Arabidopsis thaliana: one gene and its partner. The protein of the gene in region 1 binds, or shares a complex with, the protein of each later gene. Each region holds a gene or a part of one and is shown on either strand. Other genes may lie near its edges.

Region 1 (4,730 bases):
CCATGTCTGTGTTCAGCGTTGGTTTTTTTTTGTTTTTATTACATTTTTGGTAAAAAATTGATGAAAAGAATATCGATGTCAAGATGTAAATACAAACACACACAAAATCGAAGCTTTTATTGTTATTATTTGGAGAAGTAAAAGAGATGGAAAAAAAATAAGAGAGAGCCGAAATGGAGAATGTACTAATTACTAAAGACGTGAAAAGGTTCTGTACGGCTCTATAATAGTCGACAATAAGAAAAAGGACCTTGTCTATTTGATGTATTCTTCAAGTATATCTGACATTTCCTTATTTCCTATCTATGATGTATGATTATATATTGTAACTTTCACTAAATCCAGTTTCATATTTTCTTATCACACAATCTCAGATGTCAACAATAGTTGTAACATCTCTAGTGGATCAATATTGAACCAAAGCAACCTTTATAACGACAAGTGTCTAGCCTGGACATGTGCACTGGAATCGAGCAACATTAAAAACAAATGTTTACTACTATAAACAATCGGTTTCTTAAGTCAAACAAAAAAAAAACGAAAGAAGAATCAAATACGATAGAATAGAACAAAATAAGCTATATTATTGTTATTCGATCAAATCATAAATACATTAATGATTGAAATAAGGAGTTTTTAAACCTTTGCTGTCGAAGAATAATTAAGAATATTACGAGAAAAGAAAAAAAAAATACATTAATGATTGTTAAGATGACATCAGATTGTGACGCAGTGATTGCGTCATCAAAACACGATAATTAGGCTCCAAAGACCAACAGTGATTAAAAAAAATTTCATAACAAATAAAAATCTAGCTATATCTCAGAATTTTGGAGATGATTTAGACACAAACTGAGTTGCGGAAGAAAAAGACATGTCGAATTCATGCAGTGGTGATAAACTCTGGTTGCTACAAATCCTACATTTGTCATATGCCAGAGGTAGAGAAGAAGATGAACATTCATGGTGATGAAAGAGAGCTATGCTCCATCTGACAATGTCCCCTTTGTTGTGCTGATGTAAAGAACTGTGGCCAACATAGAGCATATTTTTCAGAATTGGATATAAAAAAACATACTAAACCGATTTAAAGAGTGATGATGAATGTGATTTGGTTTTTACCATTGTTGCCACGGACAAAAGCGTCGCCATATGTGTTCTTCAGCTGGCCATTTACATACTCTTCGGTTTGCTCCATTGCGATGTTCATATATCCATCAAGACAAGTAAGAATGCCTGCAAACAAGAAGAGAGACAAAGTGTCATATGTAGATTGATACAACATGATATGCCAAAGAAAGAATAAGTCTGACTTTTGTAGATAAACCAAAGAAAGATATTCAAGCTAGAAGTTCTCCTAGTCCTGTAAGTTATATTATAGAGTTCAAGAGACCAAGGTCTTAATTTCAGGTGATAAAGGCTCCATAGCAAGGTGAGAGTCCATATTCTATCAGAAGCAAGAGTAAATGCATCTCAAATTCAACCACATTTGGGTCTGTTATCTCATGAGAGAAGCTCTCTCAATTCACAAAGCTATCATCTGAATCTAATATTCCTCTCAAATTCCAAAAAGCATATGTTTCAAAGCCGTATGTTAATTTCCTGCTCATCTAGATTATATTTCTCAAAATCCAAAGCAAATATCTCAAGCCGAAATGTATTATTCCTTCTCAAACACAGAGACAAGATAGGGAAAAAACAAGCAAGCTCAACAAAAATGAATCTTCAGAGATGGGACTTTCAAATCAAATGAGAATCAAGCAAGCAGTTCTTAGACAAAGAAAAGAGTCATTCTGTAAACCAACATCCAAAGGTTCCAGTAACATGGCGAGAAAGAAAGGCATTGAGACATCTAAACCCAAAGTGATAAAGAAGTTTACATAGACTTCCGATAGCTTAATAACCACCGAAAATCAGAAGCAAACTATAAGATATCATCACACAAGGCAAAAAAAAAAAGAATTTGAACTGGATACATCTTAGAGGAGAACACAAAATGCAGAAAGAGAGAGAGACAGACCTCGATAATCAACACCAGAGTTGAGCTTGACAACAACTGGTTTACCACGGATAGATTTCAAGAAATCAGCAGGTGTCTTAGTTGTTCCAGAAGCTTTCTCTCCAACTCCACTCATCTTCTTTGCTAAGAAACCACAATATCTGCCCACCAAATTAGATCCAAATCAAACAAGACCCCTCAGAATATCCCACAAAGCCAACAACTTTAAGCAACAAATTCATGTCAGCAATTCGAGATCCATAAATCAATCAAATTACATAAAGACCTTGAGAAAAGGAATCATCTTGAATACCAAACTCGTAGCATCTCAACGATTACTCCCGAATCAAACAAAACTATGTGCCCTAAAACCCTAAACCTCAGACCAATTAGGAAATGCGCGAATGACTTGGATTAAGTAAAAAGAGAAACTTTGAAATGGATTGCAGAAACAGATGAGTCTGGGAAATCTAAGAACAACGAACCTCGAGTCCACGAACAAACGGTAATTGGCTAGAGACTTCCGCTCGATGAAGCAGCCGAACAGAGCGAAGAAGACATGTGACGCATTTACAAATAAGTAAAAATAAAATTACAATTAAAAAGGCCCAAGCCCAAATTCGAATCAGCCCACATGGAAAACAATCCGAAGTCCAAGTTTTTTTATTGTGGTTTAATTATGTGCGAGATTAAAACTTTTTAGTCAATTTTAAAATTTTAATCGTGAAAATGGTGAATTTTCAAAATTCGTTGGGAGAAGAACTTTGCAAAGATGTTTGACATCAGCAATTTGGAAATGCCTAATGTGAACCAAACAAAAGAATAATTTCAGTTTCTTTTTTTACATTTTGTAAATAGTATAGCTTGCAATAATTTAACTTTTCACAAGACTTTAGTTCTTCTATCGTTTTAGGTTTAGATCAATAAATACATCTACACGTGACATAAATAATTCAACAGAGGACTGGAACACGTACAGAGCCCGATGATAGCAACTTGCAACAATCTGCCAAAATCTATTTAAATTCGCCTATCAATAAAAATATAAATATGTATAACACATATATTACTTGAGTACGTAGCAAATGAAACCAAAACATTAGCATACACCGAACCAAACCCGAGCCAACAGTTTTCACTTAGAACGAGCCATCGTCGTCGTCTAGAGAACCCGATGGACTTAGCCGTGAGTTGTTATTGATAACCACCGGAAACAGAGGCGTGGCGGTCTGGTTCGATGGCGAATGTAGTGGCATGGATCCATACACCGTTCTCTCGTTTACGCGTCCAACTTCTTTACACACTTGATCAAGAATCGTCAGAAAGTCTCTGACCACAGCGAAAATGCGAAAAGGATGAGTTTCCGAGTTCCCGTGGAAATACTCTGTTACTTCTTTAACCATCTTCATGACATTGTCTCCATGAGATTGTAACTCTGTGATCTCTTTCTCACCTTTGTTCAAGAACGAGTTCATTGACTCCAAGAATCTCTCTACACCTGTTTCTTGCTTTAGCTCCGTGATTACTTCCTTGACTTTCGCTATTCCTCTGGCGATTTCCGCTGTTTCGTTGATGAGGGAATTTGAATCCATTGCCGCTGCTTTCTTGACGTTAATCAGCTGAGAGCTGAGACCTGAAACGACTTGCAACCCGAGTTTCTTGAGCTCTAGGTCATCTTGGAATGCGGATTGCTCGGCCATGTTATCGCCTATATGGCTTTGACTCGGAGTAAAAGGAACCCGAGCTCCTTCAAATTTTATGATCTCTTGAACCACAAAATGCAATAAGGTGGTTTTCCCATCCGCGCCTTTGATATCTACCAGTTTTAAGAGCGTGTCGAGCTTGAAAGCATGTGCGTCCCCTCTATTGGTTCCTATATTCATCCGGTTCCCAGTCTTGAGCACGGCTTCTAAAAGCTTCAAGAACATCCGCGTGTTCTTTAACTCACCAGTAGCAGCCTGAGAGTTTGATCAAATGCATATGAATGATCTGTTTGATCAGCAGACATACACTTATGAGGTGGACAAGTAGAGTTTTACCTCGAGAGTGTCGAAGGATCTGTTAAGGTACTCGATTTCTGATTCGAACTTGACAATGTAAAGCATTGCATCAATCCTCTTGAAGGCGAAAGGAATGTTCAACAATGCTTTGAGGAATTTCTCTGCAGGTCCTATCTTGGAAGGAGATCCATCATCATCATCTTTAAGCTCCTTAAGCTTGTCCTCTTCTTCTTTAGTAGGAGCCATCTTAAGCAAGCATTCGAGAAGCTCGGGTCCAAGCGTATCCGAGTTACCTGATTCATGAACAAGAAAGTGATTAGACATCAACTAAGTCAAACAAGTCAAGCTTCAATAATCACAGACCAATTTGAGGAATCATCAAACCAATGCAATGTTGCAGTAAGTGCGAGTAACCTAAGCAACAACAGATTGGAAATTACTCACCTTCTATAAGAGCTTCACATACTTCATCAGCAGTTACATTAAGAGCTCTCAACAAAATAGCAATGTTGTGTGACTTTCTTGGATCAAGAAACCGATTCTCCTGACTCACGGATTGAACAACGCCATCTCTTGTTCTCGAAGTTGGATCATTCACCTTGAACAATGTCTCTATCATTTCTTCATTCACTCTGCAAAAACACAAAAGAATCATATCTTAGTCGTGTATGCAAAAGGATAGATCAAGTCTTTAATTCAGATTCGTTATGTCTTACTGAAAGGAGTTTGAT
Region 2 (4,046 bases), on another chromosome or scaffold:
CAGATCATCTCGCAAGTTTGATCCTTTTTTATATATTTTTCTGAATCTCTGCAGTTAAGGTGGACAGAGCTGTGAGCACAAGTATCTACTTCTTGCTTCCATCTGGGAGCGTTTCTCGTCTTCATCGCATACCAATGGCTGAAACCTGGCACTTTTATTTGGGTGAACCCCTTACTGTAAGTTCAAAGCTCTTGTCTTTACAGTGAGTGAACAAAACTGTATAATGAGAAGAAGAATATAATCCATGTTCTTGAATATGGCTTCTTCTTCTTGCCTTGATCAGGTAGTGGAACTCTACGATGATGGGAAGTTGAAATTCACATGTCTTGGTCCTGACTTGTTTGAAGGTGATCAGAAGCCTCAGTACACGGTCCCTCCAAACGTCTGGTTTGGTTCGTTTCCTACAAAGGATGTTCATTTTTCTCAAGACGGGGCTCTGCTTAAAGCTGAGGCTAGAGACTCTGAGAACCATTTCTCTCTTGTTGGCTGCACCTGCGCTCCTGCTTTCCAGTTCGAGGACTTTGAGCTCGCGAAACGCTCTGATCTCTTATCAAGGTTTCCGCAACACGAGTCACTCATCACAATGCTATCTTACCCGGAGTGAAAGGGCCTACCTAGAGGAGACGCCTTATTGGCTCAATGGTTTTTGGTAACTACTAAGAGAAGGATACTATGTTTGCTTTGTTACTTCAACTTTTCATATGAATCATACAAAGGTTGTAACTGTACTTTGAGTTCACTTTTCATCTTTGTATCTTTGTTTTTACTGAATTGTGATTGATCAAATAAATGGCCAGTAAAGAACAGGCTCAACAATTTCATTCCATAAACAGAGCAGAGGATCTGCAACGACTAAGTTCTGAGGATTCATCAATGTCATCCACACATACACACATCAACTAACATTATGACGTTTAAGGATCTTCTGTATCCTCCATCTTGAGATCTTCTAGTTTCTACAATGCTGCAACACATAGGAAAATGCCCTAATCGAGATCAAGGAACTCCATTCTTTTCCGCATTGTGCCCTTTAAAAGCATTTCTTCCTTCTCTGCTTTCTGAGCCTGAGTATACGGAAGAGAGTAATTGAGGAGTCAGTAGAATCCAAAACACTAAACCAAATAAAAGCAAATCAGCTGTAGTACATTTGTGCAAGAAGCTCACAAATCAGAGCTAAAGCAATCAACAAGGGAGAGAAGGATATTTGCACTAACCCTTTTTATCTCTGCTTCTGGAACCTGAACCATATGAGCTGGAAGCTCTTCTTTTTCCACGTCCTAAGATCACAGAAACCCGATTCAAACACCGAAATCGTTCTTAAAAGTGGAAACTTTCATTTCAAAATGCAAGAGGAATTGGTTTGTTTAGTAAAAGCTTTACCAATTCACCAATCAAGACAACATTTTCTCCACGGATAATGTATAGACCTAAGGGAATATCACAGTAGAGATCACCCACAATGACTCTTTCATAAGCTTCTTCTAAAACAGCATTAGCTTCAAGAAAACCAAAAACAAACGAAACATTTCTTAAAACCATTTCAAAGACTTTGGATTTTCGGTGCAAAAGAGAAAGACAAGTACCAAATTGATCAAAGGACCGAAGTAGACCCATCAGTTTCCTACCATCACGAAGCAACACAAGAAGTTTCTCTGCAACAAGAAATCAAAACATTAAGAGACTATTGAATCATGTAGAAGAAGATAACATCTTCAACAACCATTGGGGATCAAAATCTTATTTTTTTACAGAATTCATCGCCGGTGAATCAGTAATGAGAAAGAGAGTGAGAGAGATTACTGTCTAGGTAAGCAGCAAGAGAAGTGGAGAAGAAGATATCATCAGGAGCAGCCCAAGACATTGGAATTCTAAAACTCAATCTCCTCCACTCGCATTTGCCTTTTTGACTTCTCAGTTTCCCAATTCCCGATCTTCCCTTTTCTTCTTCTCCTCGATTACTGAGCTTAAGAACAGAGAATCAACGAACCCTAATTTATTCACTAAGAGAGAGAGACTTGAGATCTATGGATCGTTTTCGTTAAGTCTGACGGCTCGCACGATTCTGTTCTGTCAAAGTTTGGTCAGACTGAGTTTTTTTTTCAATTTTAGGAAAAATACATTAAAACCCCAAAACTTCGTAACTATTGCATAATCAACCCATTTTATTTTGCATTTGGGTTTTCCTTCATTTCATTTTATTATTTAACAAGAAATCTCAGTCATTCTTCATTATTCATCACTTATTTCAAACTGCATAAATACAAATAAAATTATTTGATAAGATGAATATTTTGTAGTTTACATGAGCAAACAGATTTTCTTCACCACATTAAAATCTGAAAAAATAAAAACAAATCTATGATGAAAAATGGAGTTTGACAAGTAAATATACATCTGTAAACACTGATTATCAGAGATATTTTTATGACCCTTCTCCAATGTTATTCTTCATATCTTGAACAGTTGAACTTACACCATCACTCAATTGAGACCTGAAAAACATATTTTTGATTATTTGTCTTGAATCAGTGATCATGTTTGTTTGCTACTTTTTATATTTTACATAGAAAATCAATTTTTAATAAGAAAAAACTTTGGTTTTTATTTACATTCTATTATTACCATGACTATCAATCAGGTCCATTTAGCTTATTGGTTGATATCTACATCTCCAAGACAATATCTGTAACCATCAAAGAAATTTAAATTAATTTACCCTATCCATTATTCTTGTTTACATTTTTCTATTTGTTTATTTATCTATTTTTAAATTCTTACTTTTCATCTTTCTGCATTTTAATTCAGTCCTTATGATGTTTATTATATGCTTTTGACCTAACTAAATACTGCAATAAAGCCAGTCATGATATTCACTTGGTTAATTACACCATCTGTATGTTTAAAATAAAACTTTTTTTTTTTGCGACCTGAAAAACCAAATATATATAATTTTAGAAAATCTCACATTCAGAATCAGTCTTGACCCATTTGTTGGCGTCAACACTTGAACGAGCTTCATCCATAATCTTATGATTACTTTCCAAGTACTTCTTTGCTATAGAATTTGAACGTTGTGGATGTATCTTCTTGTTGAGTATTGTCCTTAGCATCTACACACAAAATAACATATGGAAAAAATGTTTCTAGTGTACATAACTATTATTGAATTCACTTCTTTTCATAATAAAAATAATATTTTGTTTAAAGATTGAATAATTTGATCATATATGCTTACCTTTTCCATTCGTGTGTTGTGCAATGAATCTCCTCTAGATAAATCAAGAAGAGGAGGTGGAGTTTTGAAGCCACTTGTGCAAACAAACATCTTCTTGAGAAGAAAAGAAAGCGATTTCTTCTTCCCGATAGTAACATCTGTATTAACCGGAGTTATATCTTTGCTAGAATCTGTTTCTTCTTCTTCTTCTTCTTGCTTGGGGAAGATATTGTTTCCAAGTGTTCCGATGGCTAAGAAGGTTTCTTCGTCTTGAGGCAAACCTTGGACTTCTTTACTCAAAGGAGGACTTGATGGTTCTTGAGCTATATATACATCATCAAACATATGAAACAAAAATATGAAAATATGCTCAAATGATTTATGCGAAGACTGTTCATGTAGTCTATGAATAATAAGAATATTTACTCACAAGAATCTGAAGTAGGCACACGCTTCTTTCCGCTAAGCTTTCTTTGAACCCAACTAAAAATCTGTGTAGAACAACAAGATCAAGATTTTTGCACGATCAAAGAAAGATCAACACTATTAATTTGATTTAGACATATATGAAAACCAACCTTCATATTTCAGAGACATGCATATATAAAAGCACATGTATGTGTGTGTTTATCCAAGAAATTTTCTTTTTCTGTCAATGTTCTCCAAGAAATTTTCTTTTTCTGTCAATGATCTTTTACTTCTTGAAATAGCTTTAGGAGATAAAGATGATCAAGTGGTCCCATGTTTTTAAAGACACAGTAAACACAAGTCCCAGAAGCCAGCAAAAAGCCAGCGATTAGAAAATTGGGTTCAAGTTTCTATACACCCTCGA

Evidence for each region.
Region 2: LSM6B (region 1) and LSM1A share a complex: the UniProt entries of both Arabidopsis thaliana proteins name them as parts of the heptameric LSM1-LSM7 complex.

Annotation. Positions count from the first base shown.
Region 1 is NC_003071.7:18,147,130-18,151,859, reverse strand, and holds LSM6B (Small nuclear ribonucleoprotein family protein), read right to left. Parts: upstream 2,664-4,730; 5' UTR 2,485-2,663; exon of another isoform or gene 2,286-2,484; intron 2,161-2,285; 5' UTR 2,136-2,160; coding exon 2,021-2,135; intron 1,237-2,020; coding exon 1,123-1,236; intron 1,028-1,122; coding exon 981-1,027; 3' UTR 565-980; downstream 1-564. Other genes in the region: AT2G43800 (Actin-binding FH2 (formin homology 2) family protein), read right to left, coding at 3,139-3,957, 4,039-4,292, 4,444-4,631, 4,716-4,730. UniProt on the Arabidopsis thaliana protein: Component of LSM protein complexes, which are involved in RNA processing. Component of the cytoplasmic LSM1-LSM7 complex which is involved in mRNA degradation by promoting decapping and leading to accurate 5'-3' mRNA decay.
Region 2 is NC_003070.9:6,606,103-6,610,148, reverse strand, and holds LSM1A (Small nuclear ribonucleoprotein family protein), read right to left. Parts: upstream 2,035-4,046; 5' UTR 1,862-2,034; coding exon 1,801-1,861; exon of another isoform or gene 1,653-1,800; coding exon 1,584-1,652; intron 1,497-1,583; coding exon 1,381-1,496; intron 1,278-1,380; coding exon 1,215-1,277; intron 1,065-1,214; coding exon 987-1,064; 3' UTR 780-986; downstream 1-779. Other genes in the region: AT1G19130 (RmlC-like jelly roll fold protein), read left to right, coding at 55-176, 284-604; AT1G19115 (uncharacterized protein), read right to left, coding at 2,664-2,683, 2,966-3,110, 3,236-3,537, 3,645-3,705, 3,793-3,798. UniProt on the Arabidopsis thaliana protein: Component of the cytoplasmic LSM1-LSM7 complex which is involved in mRNA degradation by promoting decapping and leading to accurate 5'-3' mRNA decay.